3 linked regions of the Tribolium castaneum genome follow. The protein of the gene in region 2 binds, or shares a complex with, the protein of the main gene of each other region. Links are inferred from orthologs where the notes say so. Each region holds a gene or a part of one and is shown on either strand. Other genes may lie near its edges.

The links. Proteins that work in one complex are often made in the same cells at the same time.
Region 1: eIF3d1 (region 2) and eIF3l share a complex: the UniProt entries of both Drosophila melanogaster proteins name them as parts of the eukaryotic translation initiation factor 3 (eIF-3) complex. The link is inferred for Tribolium castaneum from reciprocal best matches to the Drosophila melanogaster genes eIF3d1 and eIF3l.
Region 3: eIF3d1 (region 2) and eIF3b share a complex: the UniProt entries of both Drosophila melanogaster proteins name them as parts of the eukaryotic translation initiation factor 3 (eIF-3) complex. The link is inferred for Tribolium castaneum from reciprocal best matches to the Drosophila melanogaster genes eIF3d1 and eIF3b.

The regions. Positions count from the first base shown.
Region 1 is NC_087394.1:32,525,396-32,533,059, forward strand, and holds the start of eIF3l (eukaryotic translation initiation factor 3 subunit L), read right to left. Parts: upstream 4,005-7,664; 5' UTR 3,921-4,004; coding exon 3,882-3,920; intron 3,745-3,881; coding exon of another isoform or gene 3,717-3,744; exon of another isoform or gene 3,662-3,716; coding exon 3,398-3,661; intron 3,271-3,397; coding exon of another isoform or gene 3,141-3,270; exon of another isoform or gene 2,886-3,140; intron 907-2,885; coding exon 1-906. Other genes in the region: iPLA2-VIA (85/88 kDa calcium-independent phospholipase A2), read left to right, coding at 3,141-3,270, 4,363-4,567, 4,614-4,704, 4,754-5,056. UniProt on the Drosophila melanogaster protein: Component of the eukaryotic translation initiation factor 3 (eIF-3) complex, which is involved in protein synthesis of a specialized repertoire of mRNAs and, together with other initiation factors, stimulates binding of mRNA and methionyl-tRNAi to the 40S ribosome.
Region 2 is NC_087399.1:4,806,649-4,814,287, reverse strand, and holds eIF3d1 (eukaryotic initiation factor 3 p66 subunit), read right to left. Parts: upstream 5,019-7,639; 5' UTR 4,952-5,018; coding exon 4,750-4,951; intron 4,688-4,749; coding exon 4,425-4,687; intron 4,379-4,424; coding exon 4,267-4,378; intron 4,222-4,266; coding exon 4,112-4,221; intron 4,058-4,111; coding exon 3,919-4,057; intron 3,872-3,918; coding exon 3,579-3,871; intron 3,536-3,578; coding exon 2,966-3,535; 3' UTR 2,909-2,965; downstream 1-2,908. Other genes in the region: Sans (ankyrin repeat and SAM domain-containing protein 4B), read right to left, coding at 5,825-6,203, 6,253-6,548, 6,595-6,870, 6,921-7,200. UniProt on the Drosophila melanogaster protein: mRNA cap-binding component of the eukaryotic translation initiation factor 3 (eIF-3) complex, which is involved in protein synthesis of a specialized repertoire of mRNAs and, together with other initiation factors, stimulates binding of mRNA and methionyl-tRNAi to the 40S ribosome.
Region 3 is NC_087399.1:10,620,061-10,627,933, forward strand, and holds the start of eIF3b (eukaryotic translation initiation factor 3 subunit B), read left to right. Parts: upstream 1-3,869; 5' UTR 3,870-3,916; coding exon 3,917-4,052; intron 4,053-4,264; coding exon 4,265-4,767; intron 4,768-4,826; coding exon 4,827-5,059; intron 5,060-7,873. Other genes in the region: multiple inositol polyphosphate phosphatase 1, read right to left, coding at 314-321. UniProt on the Drosophila melanogaster protein: RNA-binding component of the eukaryotic translation initiation factor 3 (eIF-3) complex, which is involved in protein synthesis of a specialized repertoire of mRNAs and, together with other initiation factors, stimulates binding of mRNA and methionyl-tRNAi to the 40S ribosome.

The sequences.
Region 1 (7,664 bases), on a different chromosome or scaffold from region 2:
CGGCGGAGGACACGGCGAAAGAAACTTAGGACAAGCGAAAACGAAACAATTTTCAAACTCCTGGAGGTCCCCATACTGCATCTTGTACATTTTCTCATGGTAGCTTTTCTCTCTCAGAGTTTGCTGGATCGATTCGTCGATACACTGCGGGTGCAAAACCAAGCAAATGGCCAACAAGTGGTACATCTGATCCGTTTGCTTGTTAATCTGGTCGTGCTGATAACTTTTAGAAGCAAACAATTGCTTGGTTCTCTGAATGTACAAGAGAATGGACGAAAACGTGCGAATTGCGTCAGAATAGCGCCTCATCATCATGTACCCAAACCCCACATAGTACGACGTTGAGATCAAGCAAGCCGGGATGTGCGCATACTGCGACTTCTTATGCAGCTCAATGTTTTCCAGCACTTTGATCGACTGGTAGTAGTCCCCGAGCAGAGAGTGAAGCCTCAGAAGCCCAATCAGGGAAAAATAGCCCAACATTTTGTAGAGCGAGTGACTCCCGAACTCGCCGGCCACCGAATCGGGGTCGCCCCCACTGGCGCAAACCTCCAGTTGTTGCTTGATGTTGCTCTTGTCGACCAGAGAATGCAACACGTTCAGAACGCAAAGTACGTTCCACACTTTATTGTGCGAGTTTAGAGTCTCCAGTTCTTGGGCGGTTTTCTTCTGAAGGCGGGCCCGGTATTGGGCGAATGATTGGAATTGGTAGACGAATTCGTCGATTAATTCCCATAGCCACAAGTCGGGGAGTTCTAGAGGCACCGGTTCGTCAGCGCTTAGGATGTAGTTGAAGAGGTCGCAGTAATTGTAGAACGAATTGAAGCGCTGCTCGAGGGTTGGGCCCCCTTGAATGCGCGCGTAAATGTGGCGGAAGTAGAGCTCTTTGTACAGGATCATGAACACCTGCAAGAAGGGTTGCATAGGATATTTCCCGCAAGAAGTAAGTGAAAATAATAATTTTCACGTATTTGTAATCATTGAACCCAAAAAATTAATAATTAATAATGGTAGAGAATTCTATACGTGAACAAAATCAAGCGTTTTCAAATTGGAAGTTATGTTCCTATAAATAGTGTCAAATAACTGAAATACAATTCAAAAATTATATATAGGTTTGGGACAAAATATTAATTGTTAAACGTACGTAATTTAATTTCCCAAGAATGGTGTTCCTTTTTTTGATGACTGTTAGTTGTTTTTTTATTTTGGTTAAAGTTTTCATGTTATAATAAAATTGTTACGTAAGATAAATTTTTGTGTCCCGTCCGTAATCTCACTACTTTTTATATACAGGGTGCTCAAAAACTGGCGCACCAACTCAGTGGTACGTTATTGAGAAGCAAGTGCAGATTACGGGAAAAATGTTGAATAAATTTCTAAAGTTATATTTTAAAAAATCTGGAGCTACAAACTTATTGTGTTAACTTCTTTAGTTTTCATTATTTTTTTATATTTCTATGTTTCATACCAGGTTATCGTTCCGTAACAATACAATGAATAATTATTTTAAAATTTACTATCAGATTTTAGCAGTTTTTTTAATTAAAAAAAATTAAAACTCATCCAAAAAATCACAATGTGTAGATGTGCCAACACTGGGAATTATTTCCTAGGAAACCGTTTCAAAAATAATTTATTTTTATTGTTGCTCAAATTCTATTGCAATCATGACTGTTAGACAACGTTGCCACATATCATTTACCTAAAATTAGTTATTTATCAATAACAGTAATACAAAGATTTTTTTTACTATTTTTACCTTTATATGTAACCAGTTCTCTACCACACACCACTGAGTTGGTGCGCCAGTTTTTGAGCACGCTGTATTTGGTATACACTCCCTCAGTATTACCTGAATCCGTAAAAAAATCATTCATAATATTTCTATTATGAGTAAATATTTTTGTTCTTTCGAAAATATTCACAGATTTTTATACTTATTTTAAACTCAATTTTTATTAGGCGAATACGCGTCCAGTCGGTAATCAATTACTTATAACGATTTTCATTTCAATTAATTTCATCACTTTAAATATTACTATCTTTTTGAAAAAGATAGGCCATTTGAAAATAGAAGTTGACAGAAATATGATTAGTAGATTGTGGAGGTAGTTCCTGGTTAATTTAGTTCATTACATGTTTTTTTTTTTGTTAACTAAATGACTGATTAACGATTTTACTTATTTATGCAACAAAATTCTGTACCTAGGTTTAATTTAAACATTGTTTTTAGGAAAATGCTTGAGGTACCGTCTATTTATTACGATTTATCACTGATTTTCTTATATTTTTAAAAGCATATTTTATTTTTCAAAAGAGAGACGAACAGTTGAATAGTTTTCCCGTTGAGATCTCAATTTATTTATCTTATCATGAGTTTTTAAGGACAACAAATAATCTACTTTGAAGATTCTCACGATTTTTTTGGGCCTAATTAAGACTTTGTATTCAAATTTTCGTTGGTAAATACTCAAAGTTAATTCTTTAGTAAATTGTGAAGACAGTTCTGTTAATTCAGTTGATTATAACATAATTTTTTTTGTTTATGCAATTTACTTGGTTAAGCGTTTTACTTATTTATAGAACAAAAATTCGTTTAATAAGCAAATTTTATGATTTATTTCAAGAAGTCTCAAGCCTCGAGAAAAAATATTATTGGAAATGTATTTGTCTATTATTGACTTTGGTATACTCCTAATTCAAAAAAATGTAGGAAAAAGCTGTTTTATTTATTTTGAAATCGATTACCTTTAAATGAAATGAAATTTAGAATTTCGTCGAAACTGTATAGTATTAGAAAAGATATGACCTTGTAAGCACCTTATTCAAAGTTTATTTTTTGTCGTTAAATCTATTTTTATTTTATTTATTTATTTTTATTTATTTTAATATTATTCATCGCATTATTAAAGTCCAAAACCAAAAGTCGTATTTATTATTATTTTAAACCAATTTTTTTCGCCCATGCTGCGTAAATAAATATTTAAGCAAAAACTTTACAATCAATAGACATCAAAGAATCATAGATATTGAGCGATTTCTTTGTAATTAGGTCGCTTCTGACGTGTCCTTTTGCTAAAGACATAATAAAACCCATTTATGTTCATTTTTCCCTGCTACTGCTTCCAACAGTCGCAATGGAGCATTACAAAAGGCAACTCCTGAGCAAAAAAGAAGAGCTCAAAGAGAAAATCTCTGAAGAACTCAAAGACAAAAGTGAACACGTTAGGGAGAAAATCAAGGACGTCCAAGACATTGGCACAGAAGGTAAAATAATTGATCACGTAAAGGAAAAAATTAAGGATGTCCAGGAGAGTGAAACTGGGGGTAAAATACTAGACCAAGTGAAAGACAAAATCGAGGCGGAAGGTAAAATAGTCATGGATTTACTCACGGGATCACTGTCGACTAGCGCTGACACTTCTGACTCTTCTGGCCAGGGGCGTTTCTCGAAATAATCTTCGGTTAGTTTTGGCCACGAAGTTTCATACAAAGTTTGCAACTCAAAGATTAAACCCTCATTCACGCAATTGCGGAAATAGATTAGGAAGTTTTTGACTATTTCCGGCATCTTTAGGTGCTGTTTATTGTACTCGTTGTCCAAGTTGGGGTCTCCTGTGTGAGCCCCATACTCATCATAGCTGTTGTATTCATAACCCTGAAATAAATGAAAATCAGTGTCCAATTTATTGTCAATTTTGCTGCCACGAATTATGGGAATGGTGCATGCTAAACATGTAGGTCGGTATTATTTCCACACTTTTACAAATAGGCTTGAGACACATGGTTCAATTTGCAAAGCTTTTACTAGAGTTTTATAGAACCCAGTGTAGGTTTAAGGATAAATTGTTCAAGTTTTAGGTGTTTGAAGCACTCACTTGCTCATAATCGTCGGAAAACATTTTGAATTTACTCATTATATGCCTACGCCACTATAGCGAGCAAATGGTCTTGCACTTAACCTCGAAGCCAGTTGACGTTTGACAATTACAAATTACAGGTTTCTACTCGAGGTGGTGCAAGAAATTCCATTTTTTTCTCATTTTCAAAAGTATTTCCGCTGAGTAAGTGAGAAAAATGTTTTAAAATAAAACGATCAATAAACATGATGTTAATCTAAATGCAAATTTACTGAGCCGGTGATTTAACCTCATTCCCCAATTGCTCGTTCGAACAAACCTTGAACTATGAAATCACAAATTTCTTAAATAAAACACAATGATCGGTAGTCAATCTCAGTGAGTGATTAGTGTTCGTAACCGTATGAATAGATATTAAGTAATAAAATGTTTGCCCAAGGATTTACAAGTGGTAATCCCCTGCTTTGTGATGGTACAAATATTATTCTTCATTTTGCAGTTTTACGTAGCTTCCTCAGTTCAGAACCCGCCCCAACCAAAGTGATTGACGCCAAATCAGACGCTTTTTCCGACCGAGCGATTCACCTACGGGAAGATGGATTGGTCCTCTACCTCCCAGCTAATACAGTTGACAAGAAAAAAGGGGCCACTTACGAAATTGTGCTCCATCGCCCGTACACGGAAAGCCTACACCAAACCTACAGGTTTGTGCCCCCGAACACGTCAACTGTTAAAAAAATCAATTTTTAGTTTATACCGCTCGCCAAATCTTGACGAAGCTGAAGTGAAATTTTGTGTCTTGAAGGATAAGTTACCCACGTTTGTTGAGATTTCGAAAGAAGTAATTTGCTGTAGTTGTTAAAAGACGATTATTTGGAATTTTATTTCAGATGTATAATGTGCAAGGTTTGCAAAAGATTTGTGACGTTCTTGCGGAACACCCCTCTTGGAACTTGGCCCATTTGGCGGCGTATTTTAGTCTCTATGATTCTTTTAAAGACTCTAAGATTAACAATTATTTGAATAGTACTGATGATGAAACTGGGATCTCGCCACTACAAGTTGCTATTACCACGAAGAATTTGAAGACGGTGCAAGTTTTGGTTGCTGCGAATGCGTCTTTGGAACATCTCGATTACAACTCTGATTCGGTGTTCCATTACGCCGCTAGCACCACCAAAGATATCATTGCCGTAAGTATTGAATTGTGCAAAATTAGATACGGAAAAGTTGTACATAAGGAATTCTAAAGATTTTTTTCTGACGATTTTAAATACCTTTTTTTAGTTTAACATTTGTAAAGGCCTTGGTCATTTCCATTGAGCATTGTTTCGTTTGTGTTATGTGGAAAATATCAAATATTACACTAGAGTATAGAAAAATTCCATTGAACTAGTAAATAATAAAAAACGAGAACACATTTATAAAGTTCATAGGTCAAACGTTGACATTTTATTTACGAGATGTTTATTTCTATTAAAACCTACTAGAGACAAACAAAGTTATCAGTTTACCTAATAAGTAATCACTAGTTTTAGGGAACCTAATTTTATCAATGAATGGATTGTACTCGTATTACAAATAAGGACATTATTGGAAAAACAATTAATAGGCATTGCTTTAACGTTTCCAACGAGTGTTTCAGGTTACTCGTAAAATGTGACAATATGGGTTGGTTTAAGAACATTTTAATTAATTTTAAAGTACAACATTAATAAAAAATAAATGAACAAATAAATAAATAGCGAAATGAACATTTATTCAAGAATTTTTTATTGTTTAAAATTTTATTTAAAAAATCCTAATATCATCCGTTACTTTTCTATCAAACTTCCGATTTAGAAGGCCTTTGAACAAATTCGGTTTTTTAATTTTTAGACAACACTGCTTTAATTAGCTATATTGTAGGAATATGTTTTTGTAAAATGCTAAAACAAGTTTGCATTTTTTATAAGAATGGTGCACGGACAATTTTTTGAGTAATACTTTTCTCATGAGTAACAGTAAAGAAAATTACTGAAAATTTTTTTGTTAAAGACGTTTTTCTCTTATTTCAATTTGTTTTTGTAAACTTTTCAGACGATTTTGAAGCAAATTTTTACTTTCTTGAAGCTAGCTAATTTTGAAAGTGGAACTTAGTCTTTTAACGATGTGAGTGAATCAAGTAGTTGAAAAGGCTACTAAAAACTATTTATACTAGAGAGTAATTCAAGTCTTGTTTACCAAATTTATAGAATCAATTGAGAAAATCAAGATATTAATATTTTTAGACATTGAGATAATTGAATTGCTTTCGATGTAAGCACATTTTTTTATAATTTGAAAGTGCAAACTACGATTAGAGATAAATAAGTTTTTCTATAGAAGTGGTTTTGACGTTGAAAACGAATAGAATTCACGTAGAAGTAGAACGATTTTTCATTTTCTCTGTTGATTCTAAAAATTTGGCAACAACTTGAATCCGTCTGTATTTACAGAGTGAAACAAAGCTTTGGAACAAAGCGTTTCTTGCTTAAACTCCGTAGACTGAAGAATACAAATAAATGTAAAATCTGTTTAAAAAAATAATTTTGTAATAAAGTAAATAAATAAATAATAGTTTTCATACACAGTACTATAAAATTAAATAAATCAATATAACAAAACCAATCTGAAAAATTATAAATATCTTTGGTGAAAAAATCATTTTCCACTCTCCGAATATTTCATGAAAGTACGTCATTTCCCACCTACGACCCTCATTTTCCTCTCTCGGGAGGAAATAACGTTCTATCATAGAATATTTGGAAGGTGAAAAAAATAATTTTTGATGAAGACGCCAAAAAAAACATATATAGCACTGGAGAAAGCGCCTTTTTTCTCCCTTTAAATATTAATTCATCTTCGGGGAAGAATCGATGTTTTTCCTGTCTTGGTATATAAATAGTTATTTCATTGGATTTGATTCTCATGAAAAATCAAGCGTAACTCCAACAATAATTTGTATAAAAATTATTTGATTATTTAAAAATCAAATGAAAACTTCTTCTTTAGCCTTTTCTTTTCTTTTTTATTAAAGAATACAATTTTTTGAGATTTTTGAGAGATTGTTTATGACTTACTGTCATTTTTATAATACTGTACTTATTATTCGTTCACGATTGTTTTAAATTCTCAGCAGGCCTAGATATATTTTTCTTAGGTTGGCCTCAGGTCCTGTCAGGTACTGTCTTTATGACGTTGTCTTGTCAAAAATTCGCTGTGTTGTCAGTTCTACTGCTTATTAATTTAAAATGTCGAAAATAATTTTTGTTGATAAGAAAGTTTGTATCAAAAGATGCTTTGAAGGATGCAAGAAAGACAGACCCGACTTTTTTAACTAATGATACTGAGTAGAATTACAATAAAAACGTGTTCAATTATTTATTTAAAAAACGAAGCAAACTGACAACAGTCCTTGGTTGTCATCAATTATAACCCAAAATAAATTTCTTATGACAACTCACAGTACTGCCAAATAAAATGTCAGATTTTCATAGATAGTCCGAATTTAAAACAATCGTGAACGGTGTATATTTTTTCATCATTTAAACGTTAGCTTTTTTCGTCCAGACTTATTATGTAGTTTAATCTAGGACAACAAATATTCAAAGTATTTATCAATTTTTAATACAGACCCGTAGTTATATTCCTTCATTTTTCAAGTTCTTTCCAAGAATTTTTGTTAAGAAAATAGTTCAGAATAGTAAATCTAGTTCCACATCAATTTAGAGACACAATTAATTGATCTATCGTAAAATTTACAATGTTCCTCGCTGTAAT
Region 2 (7,639 bases):
TACACCCGGCTTTTGTCACACACGTTGCTATTAATTTCTTTATTGTTGTGAAAGAATTATTTTTATTTTTATTGAATCCGAAATAATGTTTGTTTTTGCGAATATTTCAATTAGTAAATAAACTCGCATTTTGAACCTGCCGCCTTCATCATTGTCGAAAAGTTTAGCACCGCTGAGCACCGCCAACCTGTGGTCACAAACAAATCCCCTAAACGGAGGACCAAAAACTGTCCAATTTGTTGATAAATCACACTATTATTAGGTGATAAGTCTTCAGCTCTTACAAATATTCAATCAAGTAACGATTACTACAGACTGATGTAATTTAAAGTGAATTATAATTAAACGAATGCGAGTTTCGCCATTTTATTGTTTTCATGTTGGCAGAGCTTAGTCTAATTTTTGCGGCGTCATAAGTTTGTGATTAGAATTAACTTCCCTCGCTTACATAAGCACGAAATAACAATGGAAAAAGAAGAATCCCAACAAGCTGAAGTCCAGACTGCTGAAGTAACGACATGTAATGAAGAATCTGTGAAAAAATTTTGTGACGCTGACATTGCTGGTATTCACCAAATAGCGCAGTTTTGGGTGTTCTAACATTTTTCTAGGCCAGGATTCGTGTGAAAGCCACCCCTACAAGCACCTTCTCAATTTTGAGCCCACCGTTGAGCAGTTGTCTCGCGTTGAGAACATAGAGGCCCCCAAAACGCTCAAGGAAACCCCTCTGTGTGACATCGACACGAAAACCAGTCTCGAGGAATTAATAACCGATTTGAAAGCCTGGAAGGAGTTAGGGGTTGACGTTGAATACTCGGATCATGGCTACAAAGCTTTGACTTGTCTCGTCCAGATATCGACCCCTGACAAAGACTACATCATCGATGCGATTGCCTTAAAAGACGAGTTGCACGCCTTGAATGAAGTTTTCACCAATCCAGACATTGTGAAAATTTTTCATTCGGCGGTAAATGACCTGAAGTGGCTCCAGCAGGACTTGGGTGTTTTTGTCGTCAACTTGTTTGACACTCAAATCGCGATGAAAGCGCTGGGGTACAAAAAGTTGGGACTGGACGCACTTTTGCAGGACTATCACGTCGCAAAGGATAAGACAATGCAACGTCAGGATTTTCGCAGAAGGCCCCTGCCTCCCAAATTTAAAGACTACGCCCGTGTGGACTCCCATTACTTAATCGGGTTTTACCACAAACTCAAAAATGAGTTGATTGAAGCGAACCTTTTGCGGGCTGTGCTTGATGATTGTAATAACTGCTGCAAGATTCTCTATCCTAAAGTTGAAGATGAAGCGTATTTGTCGGTTCGTAGAAATGTCGAAGAAATACACAAACGCCAGTTGTTAGTTTTGGAAAAACTGAACAGCTGGAGGCACCAAATTGCCCAATATTTGGACAAAAACGTGGGCTGTGTCTTATCTAAGAGTAATATGGAGACCTTGGTTTTGCAAATGCCGAGTGATTCGGCTGATATTATGCAAATTTCGCAGTCATCACACGTGAAGGAACATTTGGACGAAGTTATGCAAATATTGTCGGAGGGAAATCCCGTCCGGTTTAATGAGTTTTCTAGAAATAAACGTAAATTTAACCAAACTGGGTTTGGTAGAAATGAACCGTCGGGAAGTAATAAGAAAAAATGGAATAATCAAATTGGCAAAAATGTGCAAAACATGTTTGACTTGAGGAACACTTTGCCCCAAAGGGACAGGAAGCCCTTCTGGAACAAGCAAGCGGCCAAACGTTTTCACAAGTATAACTAGACCACAAATTTTTTTTTTTTTGGATTAATTCTTTTTGGTAAGTTTCAATTTTATTCAGTTAATTATGTTTTTTATGAGTGGTTTGGACCACTTTTATTTTTTTCATTTGGGTACAAATGCGTCTTTATGGAAACGCTACTTCACAAAATACAGCTTAATGTGTTTGAAAAAATTAGAAAGATATTTCGCTTAACTCCACAATGTGAATTCATAAGTGAAATATTTCGAAAACTACTGTGGGTATAGGGCTCCTGTTGTTGATAAAAACAAAACTAAAACATTTAAGATATTGGAAAAGACAATAACAAACATATTGTATAAGTGCGGCAATAAATTATATAGTTCATTCAAAAAAAAAAAAAATAAAGTAACAAACCTTTCCCCCCTCCATTATTTCATTCGTGGAAGAATAACAAATTAGTTTCGAGGGAAAAATAGTTTAAAAAGCTGATGTTTTGTAAAATGAAAAAAATTATTAAAGTGCACTTATCTTCATGGCATCTACTTCCGCTACAATATGTAGCAATAAGGTATTGCAAATAAATAAAAACCAAGTTAATATTATGTCATTATTATACCTACCATTCCACATTTCACTTACAATATGTTAATTGTATCACATATTCAATCCCACTTGGAGATGAGCAATTGAAAAAATACACTTTACGACATCATAAACTCAAATGTCATCAAATTAGTTTGAAAATTTTATAAAGTAGTTAATCTGTTGTAAAATGTTGCACTCAAACGATTATAACTTTTCAACATCTCAAATTGTGTGGGTTCGAGTAAAAATAAAACTGTTAATTTGATTTAGTTATTGAATGTTGGAACGTATTAACAAAAAAAGAATGAATCATACGATAATATGACATCTTACGTCATAAAAATGTGCTGATAATCTTGAATAAGTAAATTCTAAACCTAATAAAGTAAATCCGCAACAAAATAGAATAATGCACTTACCTTTATTTTTCTTTTGTTGTGAATACGACAGCTTTACTTTCTTTGTTGAAAAAAATTAAAAAATGCGTGAGCAAATGCACCTTGCTGCTGCTACACGACAAGAGTCCGTTTTATTTTTTTTTCACTTGTTGGTTAATACTATGCACGAGAATTAACTGCAAATTATTATTTATTGATCATTTTATTTCGGCCTTTCGCTAATACATGATAAAAATACAAAATCTAGCGTTTCGCACTGTTGGTGTATGGATAAAGGGTCTGGAAAGTCACGGAATCAGGGGGCACCTCATCCTCCGACTCCGACTCCCCGTCCGATTCGAACGTATTATCCGGAATATCGTACAACCGGATCATCGGCTTATTCGGATCTTTCATAATCAAATACTTCCCATCCTTCTGTTTCATAACAATGTCAATAATACACCGCAGAATCCCCCACGCATTATCCATATTCAGATTAATCTGAGTGGCAAACTCGTGCGGCTTATACTGCTGTGTACCCAGAATAACATGCTTGCTGTTATCCCTGACATGGGCCCGGGAAACATAACCGAATTTAATTTGGTCGCTGCCAGCCAGCAACGCCTGAACGGTCCATTTGGCCAGCTTGCAGGCGTTATTACGCAGCTCATTGGCCAAAACGGCGCCTCTCTGGGTGTCCAGTTTCTGGCGCCACTCCACCCCATTGGCCAATTTGGAATCCCATTCGTTCAAGGCCTTGATTGACAGGAATTGGAGCTCGCCATTCGGGGACTGGACCACGGCATCGTGTTCGCAACGGACAACCAAAAACTACACAAATTAAACGTGGACAGAAACAAAACGAAAAAATTACTATTCCGCTCCCTAGGTCATATTTGCGGTATCTGTAGGCCACACTGGCGACCTCCCCTTCCTCCTCCTCGGAGATAAAAGGGTTTGGGTTGTCGAACTTGAAGCGGGGCTCCCCGGTACCTGTTCTTAATACCTGTTGACTGAAATTGTGGTTAATGAAAGTGGCTTCCAAGGCCAGGTTTCGAGGGGAGTTTAAGGAGTTGCCGTCGTCTTGTGGGGGCTCCACGGACGTTTCGTTGACGGTTAAAAGATCAAACTCCGTATTGTCACGCTTATCAAAGAAGAGTTTATCGCCTGAAAAATTTTGTTTGAGATTTGTTACACTTGTAAGGGCACAGTACCAATTTTTTCAATCACGATGTCCCAGGAATAATTCGAGCGAGTGCAGCACATGATGGTCGCAAGGATCGCATCAGTGGCGTACACATTGCCCTCCGTTTTACTCAACTTACGGATAATCGGATCATCAGTTGTTGTAACCTGAGGATAATTAATTTTAATTTTTTGCCATCAATGATATTAAAAATAACCCACTGTATGGAAGATACGATTGACGCTTTGCAGCGGCTTCTCATTCTTCACGTTGACACGATCGTACGACTTGTCATAGTACTCCAACTCGCCACAACAAGTAATATCCTCGCCTAAAAACCAAAATAGAAAAATTCGCATTGCTTAATTAAACCAACCGTCTTTGACGTTAGGGAGCGACAATTTTCCCAACCGAGGGAAATCCATTTCCTCAATGGTGACCCAATCCGGTTTGACCGTAACCGAAGCGTCCCTGATCTTAATCTGGGGCTAAAACCGCCAACTATATTGCGGTAAAACTCAAGCGAGATCTTACCCGTCCTTGTCCCCATTTCTTAACCTGGCTCCTCTTATACGTGTCCCTGGCTTTAACCCCCTTCCCGAGGGACTGCATGCCGCTGCCTTGCACCCCAGCACGGCCGCCACGCCCGCGCAAGTTGCGCTGGTTCGCGCGGAAGCGCCCCCGTTGATAGGGGGGCTTCTGGACGCGTGTTGTGTCCACCAAATGAAAAGTGCTCTCGTCTTCGTCATGATAATACGCGTATTGACTGCCAGAACCGAACTGGGACGCATACTTGTCTAAAATTGCGAAAAATAAGTCACTTAACCTCAAATTTGACATGTGTCAATGTCAGACTAACTGGCATATTTCTTGTCTTGGAAGGCGGCCCCCGTCCAGTCGCTGATTTTGCCGAGACGGTCGCCTTTGCTGAAGGGCTGGTACGGCATATCTTTGAACTGGTCGGGCAGCTCGCAGGGCCCCCATCCAGTCGGGTTGTCCTGGATTACGGGGGCCACGAATTTGGGGACCTCACCCGCTGATTGACCATCAGTCATAGTCATTTGACTTGCTTTCAGAAGTTAGGAAGTGTTCAATTCAATATGTTGAAGCAGAAACCGCGAGTTGTGCACAACACTTGGCAAAAAGAAATGTGCGCGCGCAGATTCTGACAATCGACAGTTTTTGAAATTCGGCGCTTTTGAAATCAAAATAACATGGCCAACTTACATCAAATGTCGCTGCGCTTGAGAAAACATTTTCATCCACTTTTTTTTCAATTTAATTCTCTAATTTTTGTTTACGTGTTGTTTCACTTACCTTTTCTACACTTTTTTTCAGAAAAAAATTGTCACCCTGATCCGCAGCGACATTTGATGTAAGTTGGCGATGCTAAATAATAATGGAATCCTGTTAAAAATCCTTCACTCTTGGGTTTCCAATTAATTTTAAATTAAATTTTTTCCATTACAACCTAATTGATTTATTGCATTGTTAATAACTAATATTTAACTTGGAAAAACAGCAAGAAAATAAGCTCTAATGGCAATAAGGCATTATTTTTTTCTATTTTGGTGTCTCACTAACTTTATTTTGCATAAAAACTCATTGCCATCACAAAGAACGCAACAGCGCAAAAATTTGTATTGAATTCAAATTCTTCTACACGTAACTTCACTTTTTCGTAGTATATTTTACGTCCCCTATTATTGCGTATTGACGATGACATCAGATTTCTCTCAGCAAAGAGAACACTGATAAGGAGTGGGTTTAATAAGCTCGCATTTGCATAACACACATTTATTTATAATAAATTTAAATACGAATTTGTAAATATTATGCCTGGCACACATCTGTACAAAAAGTGCCCATAAAATACAAGCAATACCGTTATCATGTCCACGACAATGAATAAATAACACATTTTGACTCCATATTTACAACATGCTGTCTGTGACTTCGCCCGGATTCTCCAGCGCGGCTTTGCGTTCGCTGACAGCGGTCACAAGTTTCCTGTACGGCCCTAGGGGCAAGTTCAGGCTTTGGAGATCGTTTTCTGTCAGTATCATCAGCGTTTCCAGGTCGATTTTCTGCTCCTCGAAGCGGGGAAGGTACTCTCCTAGCCCCCAGGCGGTCAAGAAGCGTTCCAGGGGAGCGTTCGGGTTATCGTCGTCGCTGGACTCGGGGTCTGATAACTCGTCTTCGATTGATAGAGTGTTGGTTCTGGGGCCGTAGCTTTCCCCTGACCCGATTGAACTCTCCTCGTTGGGGCCTTCGCTGGAGTAGAAGCCTTGGAATGTGTTGGTTATGCTCTTTCTAAATAAAAAACGTGTTTTTGTGCTTTCGCATATTGATTATTTGTTACCGGAACGCTATGCTTCCAATTCCTGGGCGCACGAAAATACTCGCTGGTTCTTGTTGGAGTTTAGTGTCGCCGTTTGTTTCCAATTCGTGCATGAAGTCAGGCTGGGAGATGGACCTTGTGAGGCCGTTGCTGGACGGTGGTGGCGGCGGAGACGACTCTATGTACTCAGCTTCGTTGAAGACCGATTCCAGACGGCCTCTCCTGCCATCGATGGTCCCCGTGTAAAGTACCTCAGAGTCTCGCCGATACCCCGTTAGTGATCTGACTGAGCGTTTGCCGTCTTCAATTTCACTAATCTGGAACGAGTTTTTCAAATAAATGCTTATTTACTCTCGGGAGCACCTTGAAGTCGTCGTCGAAGCCAGGCCGCGTTGTTCGGCTGGCGAGCACCCGCTTCTGCACCGACCCCAAATTCCGCATCCCGGAAACGGTCCCGTTGCCCACGATGGTGCTGAACCTCGGAGGGGCCGGCCCCAGATTCGACAAGTTCGACATGGACCCACTTTTAATTCTGGTTTTGAGCGTCTCTATCATCGACGGCCTGTGGTGACCTTTGTTCATACGTTTCTCCAGCTTCTCTTGAACTTGCTCTTTTTTGACTTGGCGTTTGTTGAATTCCTGAAAAGAAAGTGAAACGATTGGTTTCTCTCGACGGGGCCGTGTTTTACTTTGATGCGTTTTTCTGACTCTTTCTTTGCTTTTTCTTTGAGTGCTTTGGCTTTCTTTTTGTCGCCGGCCTCCAGTTTGGCGTGGACGCCGTCCAAGAACCGCAGGATGTCGTCGCGGTTGTTCATTCCGGCGAGTTCTTGGGCGGTGCGGCCGTCGATATCAGTCGAGTAAATGTTGGCTCCGAAATTGACTAGGAATGTGACGATGTGTTTGTGGCCCTGCGCCGCGGCCAAGTGCAGGGCCGTGTTGCCGAAGAGGTCGGCTTTGTCCGGGTCTCCCCTGCAACGTATTGATACAAAAAATCCATCCGGTTTAAGCAAAACCAAATAATTTTAATAATAAACGAGTAAAATTGCAATTATTAAACCTTATCCTTTGTAAATTAAATAAAATGCCTTGAGTTCAAATTCTTTTGTAGTTAGTCTCGATAAAAGTCGGATAAAAGTGATAAAAATGTTATCTGAAAATAGAAATCTCGTGTTATTTATGATAACTGACAGTAAAATTTCTTAGGTAGTAAATTAATTTTATTCCTAATTACAATGTTGAAAAGTGAGCTTTCACTTGCTGTTATTACAATGGTTTAAATATTTCAAATAACTGCCACTGCTACTTCAGTTAATTGATTGGACACAGACAATTAACAACCTATTTCAGTAGGTAATTGTTAAATTAAGTAAAATTATTTACTTGGATAATTGGTGATTTCCTTTTCCAA
Region 3 (7,873 bases), about 5.8 Mb from region 2:
GAAAAAGGCAATTTCGATTTTATTATGCAATGAGCAACGGTGCGGCCGCTCCTTAAAATATGACAATTTTGTTAAATGCACAGCTTTGGGGTCAAGGAACTTTTGTAGGGGGAATTGATTTAGGGTTGGTTTGTTCTTTCTAATTTGAATTCAGAAACTGGAAACGAATTGTTGGTCAAATGCGAGGTCGACGCACTTTAATTATTCTCAATAACCCCATAAAAACCTAATTAATTTATTAATACAAGGGATGATGTCACTTAATCGATAGCAAAAGTACGCAGTAGGAGATCTTAGGTACATAATTACTTACCTATTCATTGTAGCTTGCCGTAAAATGTTTCTATTTTGGGATAGCTTTTTGTCGAGGGTAATGGTTTCGTGACAAGGAAGTTAATGGTATGAAAAATTAAAGAAATGTTACAAATGTAATATTATGGATGTGGTTTCATAGTGACTAAAGGTTTATTGATGATAAAGCTTGTTGACCTTTTAATTCAGAAGAAGTGCAATTTACGTTTATGGCAACTTGAGTAAAGTGGGCAAACTAGCAGCACCAGAAATGACTCGTTTTTGAGCATTTTTAATTAAAATTATTTTTCTTCACACGCTATTGTTTATATAAAAAAGCTCATAATGCTTGAATTTATTAAAGATTAAAGAATAATCATTCTACCAAGCTGCGTATTACTGGTTGCGTTAAATCAATAAAATATTTTTTCGATTTATTGTAAATAACAAAACCAGACAATTTTTTATGTAAATAAATTTGTTTATTTGACTTAAGTACTATCAAAATATTTTTTTTTAAAGTAGCAGTATTAATGCAGACTGATGATTCTGTTGGCAATAAAAAGAAAATAAATAAAAAGAAATAAAATAAAGAATACCATCAGAGTACTTTTCTAGTTAACAACAATTTAACAATCTTGTGGGGTTGTACCTCAAATAAATGTTAAAGAAAACCGAATCCGGTTCAGTGTTACAAATTATGAAGAAAAATCAAATTATGAAGAAAAATTCAAATCTGTTGCCAAAAGACTCAGTATTTCTGGATCAGTCTGTAGTACTTAATTGTTAAAAACATATTCCACTACTAAAATATTGACTAAAAACCTAAATAAATCAAATTATAACATTGTTAAAAACCGTAATATTTACGACAAAGATAATATATTACTTAACCTTCCATATGTATGAACTATGAACGCAAAAAATTATAATTAAAAAAAATAAATATCTAACTAAAAAAAACTTTATCACAATTAAAATTCCAAAAAAAAATAGTTGAAAGAGCAATGTAAATCTTTCGATCATAATTTTGCTTTTCAGTTTTACAAGTTTTGTTATACTTTTCTAAAAACAATTTTTTATAATTTAAATAACGTGTTTTTGCTATTACTTGACTTACACTGATTGGCTTCTGAAATCTCCAATTAATCATTTCGAAACAAAAAATATTGTATAATTATTAATTACCTACTTACTTTCAAAAACTGCAGTATTTAATTGCATTAAAATAATTAAGTATAAATATTATTTAGTTTTTGAAAAGATGTCTTATTAAATTAGCTGTCCAATATTCTAGAAAATCGCTAATCTGAGATCGTAAAACATAAAAATATTTATAGCGCAAAAACTTAGGAGCTGTAATATTTCCACACAGCACAAATAAAATTTTGTCTTATTATACTTAAATAATAATACCTAACAAAGTTACGAATACTCAAAACTGTTGCTAAAACGTTTTGTTTAAAATTATTTTCTCAAAACATAATTACCAATTTTTATACAATTTTTAACCCCTCCCTTCAGAGTGAAATTTTTAATTTTTCTTAATTTTTCAGCAAAGATCCTATTAACAATTTTATGGTGTATCTATATTTAATAGATTTTCTGGAATTCAAACCTAAATACTCCATTTAACCTTCTAAGGAAATGGTTTTCTAAAATAATCTGTCATAATGTAATTAATAACAAAGTAATCGATTAATTTTCAATTGAATTAATATGTAATTTGTTACAGCTAATAAAAAGTAATTGTAATTACAATGTAATTGAATACAAAATAATCAGATTACATTGTAATTAGAATAATCAGTAATTGAATTATTAATTTAATTACATTGTAATCTGATTATGCCCAACTCTGGTTCATATCTTTACACAATTATTGTAGTGCCGTTTAGTTTTATTCAGTTTGTTATAATTTGCTGTTGTGAAGATACGCCTCATAAACAAAATTAGGATTTTGGGGTTTAAAAGTTTCAAATTAATTGACTAGTGCGTATTGATCGTGGTTATTTCTCCAGAGAGAAATAGAGGAAACAATCCAGATTAAAAGATTTGTCTTCAATATTTTTTTTTTAGAAAAAATACATTAAACCTGTAATACACACTCCAAAAAAGTCTGGGAATATTAGTAATTTTTTTTAATAATGAAGTTATAATTAACATATTTGGCATTTTTTTAAACGAATTGTTATTTATATTAGCGTAAGTTTAAAAAAACGCCATGAAAATGACTGTTCGCCGTTGTTTCAATTAAAGAAAAACAAAAATAAAAACTGTTATTTATAACTTGATCTTGTGTGACGTTTTTACAATTAATAAAATCAAAATTAGAATAATATTTTTGGTCACTAATACAGAGTGTAACCGTGACACTCTTGTCTAGTTCTTGTTGACAGAGTTCTTGCCGTGCTGTATTTGGAGCTGCGAATAATTCCTGATAATTTTTTTGTGAAACATTTGTCCATAAAACTCTTATTTTGAGAGTGTTCTAGACTTATTCAATAAGTATTAAGTCAGAAGATTGTTCTGGTCACAGTAAAACCAAAATTTTGTTACTTTGGTACAAATTTCTTAACCACTTAAAGTGTGCGATTGGCAATATCTTGCATAAAAGTCAAACCATCACTGTAATTTTTAATGTAAGGCAAGACAAGAGATTAAAAAATAAGATTCTTGTACCGAATTGCGGTTGAAAATAGGTTGACTTTATACCGAAAACCGAACAAATTTTAATAAAATACTGTGCGTAGTTTACGTGTCACTTAAATTTTTTAAATGGAAAATATTATATTATACCGACTACTTTAATTTTTTATTGTGCAAAAATTAATTAAATACTGATTATTTATTATTTTTTGTTGATCAAAATTACATTTATTACTGATCGCTTTGTTACTACCCAATTTAAGTGTATGTATTATATAGGTATTGCTGGTTACAACTTTATTGGCGAAAAGTTATGTTAATAAATATCATATTTAATTATTTTTCACTATCCTTAGATAAACTTCGGGTAAACAAATTATTCGTGGTATACTTAATTAGTACCAAATTACACAGTTACAATTGTTTCAACAATGTATTTTTGAAAATTTATTCCCGTAATAAATTTATTCTTCTTGGACTATTGTAAAAGCGGCCCTAACTAATGTAAAAATAATAATTTACACGAAATCAAGAAAAAAGAACACTGAATTAATCATCAATTAACTGCACCAAATTTTTGAATGAATCAAAACTCTGAAGTGATTGGTTTTGCACATTATTTTAATGGCCGACCTCAAATGGACCAATTACACCAATGAATTAAATTTTTGAATGAATCAAAAAATCGAAAATGATTGGTTTTCTGACATAATTATGATGGCCGTCCTGAAACGGCCAATGACAAGGCTTACAACTTCTACAATTTTTACAACACTTCTTACGTTAATTCATTAATCATTTATTAACCCAATTAGCAACATACAAATGAGTTTTAAGGACACAGCAGTCAAGTCCATACTTGGAAAGGGCCCAAAAGTGGTTTTTCTCCATTAAATTCATTTCTGGCGCCTTACAAAACTGTGACATTTTATTCCCGCGCGTCCTTCTTTACCGGTCGACCCTCACGCGTGTCAAAATGGCGAAAAAGAAAGTGGACGACAAAAACAGCCTTAACGGGAATAATACGAAGAACGAGAGCGATTTATCGTCCAACGATGATGAACCAAACTTCAGCGATCCCGAGGGATACGTCGACAACATCACCGATGAAGGTATTTCCCCAAAAACGCTCATTCAAAATGCGGGCATAACCATGCTGTCACTTCATTTTCAACCCTCATTTTTCGTAAAACTGTCCACTCAAACAATTAATTTTTGTTGGATTTGGCAAACCGTAGCCACGTTTTAGCATTTTCGCATCAAATATCTCGCCTGGATTGCAACATATGCGGTCGCGAAAGTGAGGTTAGGTTTGTCGTTTCAGAGCTCCTGGCCGATATTTTGAAGCAGAAGCCGAAGGAGACTGACGGTGTTGAGAGCGTGATTGTGGTCGACGGTGTCCCGCAAGTGGGCCCCGACCGTATCGAGAAATTGAAATCCGTCATTAATAAGATTTTCGTCAAGTTCGGATCCATAGTCAATGAGTACTATCCAGTGACCGAAAACGGTCACACCAAAGGCTACATTTTCCTGGAATACTCCTCTCCAGTCAACGCAGCTGAAGCCGTGAAGCTCACCAATAATTTCAAGCTTGATAAGCAGCACACTTTCCAAGTCAATCTCTTCACTGACTTTACCAAATATGAGGCGATTCCGGAGGAGTGGGACCCCCCGAAGCCGCAGCCCTACGAGGGCCAGGGGGACGTCCACCACTATTTGCTCGAGCCTGATGCTTACGACCAATTTGCCGTGGTTTTGGGACAGGGACAGTCGGTTCAAATTTGGCAAAATACGCAGCCTGATCCTTCCTTACTTGAGGAGAGACATGTAATTTTTTTAATCGTTTTGGGTTGGTTTTTTATGATTATGATTTTTTTTTGGGATAGGCTTGGACACATGCTTATATCAAGTGGTCTCCGTTAGGTACGTATTTAGCCACTTTCCATAAGCAAGGTATCGCGTTATGGGTGGGTCAGAAGTTTAGCCAATACAAAAGGTATGCCCATGCCAATGCACAATTTATTGATTTTTCGCCGTGCGAGAAGTATTTGGTGACGTACTCGCCTCAGGGAGATCCGCAGCATCCGCAACAGAAAGGGATCATTATTTGGGATATAAGGTAATTTTTATCACATTTATTATCTTAATTTGTCGTTAAACATTTGGTATTTTGAATAAACTTTCTTTGTATTTTTTGTATGACATGACCAAATCATAAAAAAAATAATGTAAGTTACATACTCTGTCCGGCAAAGTATAAAACCAAACGTTTTTTTCTAATATTTCTACTTTACGAAAAAATAGTTAGCACATTATCAAGTCTATTAACAATGTGGTCATTTTTGAATTTTTTTTTACTTTTCGAGTTTTTGATTATTTTGGTTAAAGGTTATGCTTTAAAAAATTACTTGATTCAATGTGGTATTGTTTCTGATTGGGTGTTTTTTTTTTGCGAAATTGGCCAGAAAATAAAATTTCAGCGTACTTGCTTATACTAGTATTATTTTTTCGTAAGGTAAATAGTTTACGGAAAAACGCCCTGTATTTTGTTTAGTGATTATTTTGAAATACTTGACATTCTTCTACGTGATTTACCGCACTTGTGTGTTATTTTTACGTTTAACGAGTCTAGTGCGATAACTTTCTGTTAGTGTAATTTATGTTACGGTTGTGTATGAAGGAGCGTTTCATAAATTTTAAACTTCGAATATTTGCTGCTCGTTGAATATTTACATAAAGATCTACGTAAAATATTGCTCATCTTCCTGTTATAGTTTACGGTGTTTTTTAGTGTATTCTTTATAATTGAAACGTCAGAAAATCATGCAAATTGGAAATAATTTAATTATGGTTGATACTTTGACTCTATAAAAACTTATATTAAATGAACTAAATTTTTAATAATGCATTTTAGAAAAAGGAAAAAAATTATAATTTGTCCTCTGAAATTAATTAAATTTACAAAACTAGTTTGGAAGAGAAAGTAGGAGTGAATTAATTTTAGTTCAGATTGTTACCATATGTAAAGATCAGTGTAAATATTAAATAATAAATAAATGCCTTCAAAAGTTGTTAAAATGCTACCATAAAATACTGTGCGATTGTATAAAAATATAAAACGAAAAAAATTCGGGAAAGCATTTTAAAAATGATTAGACACATTCTGTATCATAATTTCCGACTGTCTATGTGTTGTAAAGAATCGCAGAATAAAATGTATCCATTTCTATGGCATATATTAGAAAAAAGCCAACACTTCAATAATTCAGTAAAAAAATTAGATTCACTGATACCAGAGCTGATACCATAAAACTGTCAATACCTTGATACTACGATATTTTCAATACCTCGATTCTTCCGGTACCTCAATACCAACGATACTTAGGTTAGTATTGATACCTTCAGGGTTTTTTTTTTCCAATAAATACTGAAACTTTTAGCATGCAATTGAACGAAACGCAATTCTAAGAGTGATTTTCCAAACCAGTGTATCTTTGTGGGGATGCCCCCAATCTTAATTTTTTTTTATATATTTGGATTACTGAAATGATTTCTACAATGCTTTGAACTGAGAATTCGCCAATTTTGAGACACCTGTAGAGGAAAAGTGTTAATGAATTGTCAGTTTAGTTTTTTTTTTTGCATAAAACCTATTTTTAACTTTGAATTTATTTGTTTCTCTAGATGATAATATGAACTCACACAATTGTCGGTATTATTTATTTATTTTTTAAACATTTTTTCAATGTGACGAGTTTTTCTCGTATTCTAAAATAAACCAGCAGGATGTACACTTTGAAACTAGATCCCTCAATTAGATCCTCCTCCTCAGAAATTAGTTATTATTTTATTTTAAACATTGTTTGTAACCTTGGTTTAAGGGTTGGAAAAAAAATAAACAAAGTTCTATAAAAATGTACTATTACATAGGCAATTCATATACAATATGCTCAAAATTCCTCATGAAAATTTTGTTCACTGTTTTTTAACAAAAAAATAAATTGGTCAAAACTAGAGGTTTTTTCTGTGTAGTTTTAAACGAAACAAACTTTTTTGCTAAGGTTTTCATCAAGTCACAATGTTTTTTACGAAATTTAGGGTTGTTTTCCGGTAAAAATAGAACTGTTGAATTTTTTAACAGTCTTCAAATGGGAATCCAAATATTGGAAATGGATATTTATTAATTTTTTTTAATCTGATTTTAATTTAACACTTATGTATACCCTGGTTACGTCTGTTATATTTGACGGAAATGCTGTACTTTAGACCCTCTATGTAGAGGGTGTTAGGGAATGGCTTAGCAATATTGTGTAAGTGAATTTGTCATGATCAGACGAGTTAAAAACCCTTATATAATTTTTCCAAAAGGTGCGTACTTTCTTTAAAAAAAAAATATTAACCCACCTGTTGAGAGCCACTGGGCTTATGGTAGTTTATTAGCGGTTATTATTATATTTTTTTTTTTCATTAAATAAGGCAACATTTTCATTTGTGCGGAAGGTTCGAATCCCGGTCTTGGCAAAAAAAATATTTTTTCGTAAACTTTAGTAACAAAACACAAATTGAAATAGAAGAATAACGTAGTGAACCAACAAGTTATTTTAGCTCAGCTGTTTTGCCAATATTATTAGAATTTACGCTAAATTTTATAATTCTAGTTCAGCGGTTCTCAAATTTTGAGAACAAAAGTTCAGAACAAATTCTTTGAAAAACCATGCATTTTTGATTTACATAAATTTACATAAATCTTTAAATTTTTGCTAAGCCATTACCTAACACTCTGTATTTAAATAATAATAAATCATTGGCATAACTAACCTGATCTTTGATTAAATTTACCGTTTCTTTCAATTTTTTCAAACAAAAAGTTACAAATTTTATTTACTAAATACTTAATGGTACAGTAGCAGATACGGAATTTTGAGCACTTCTG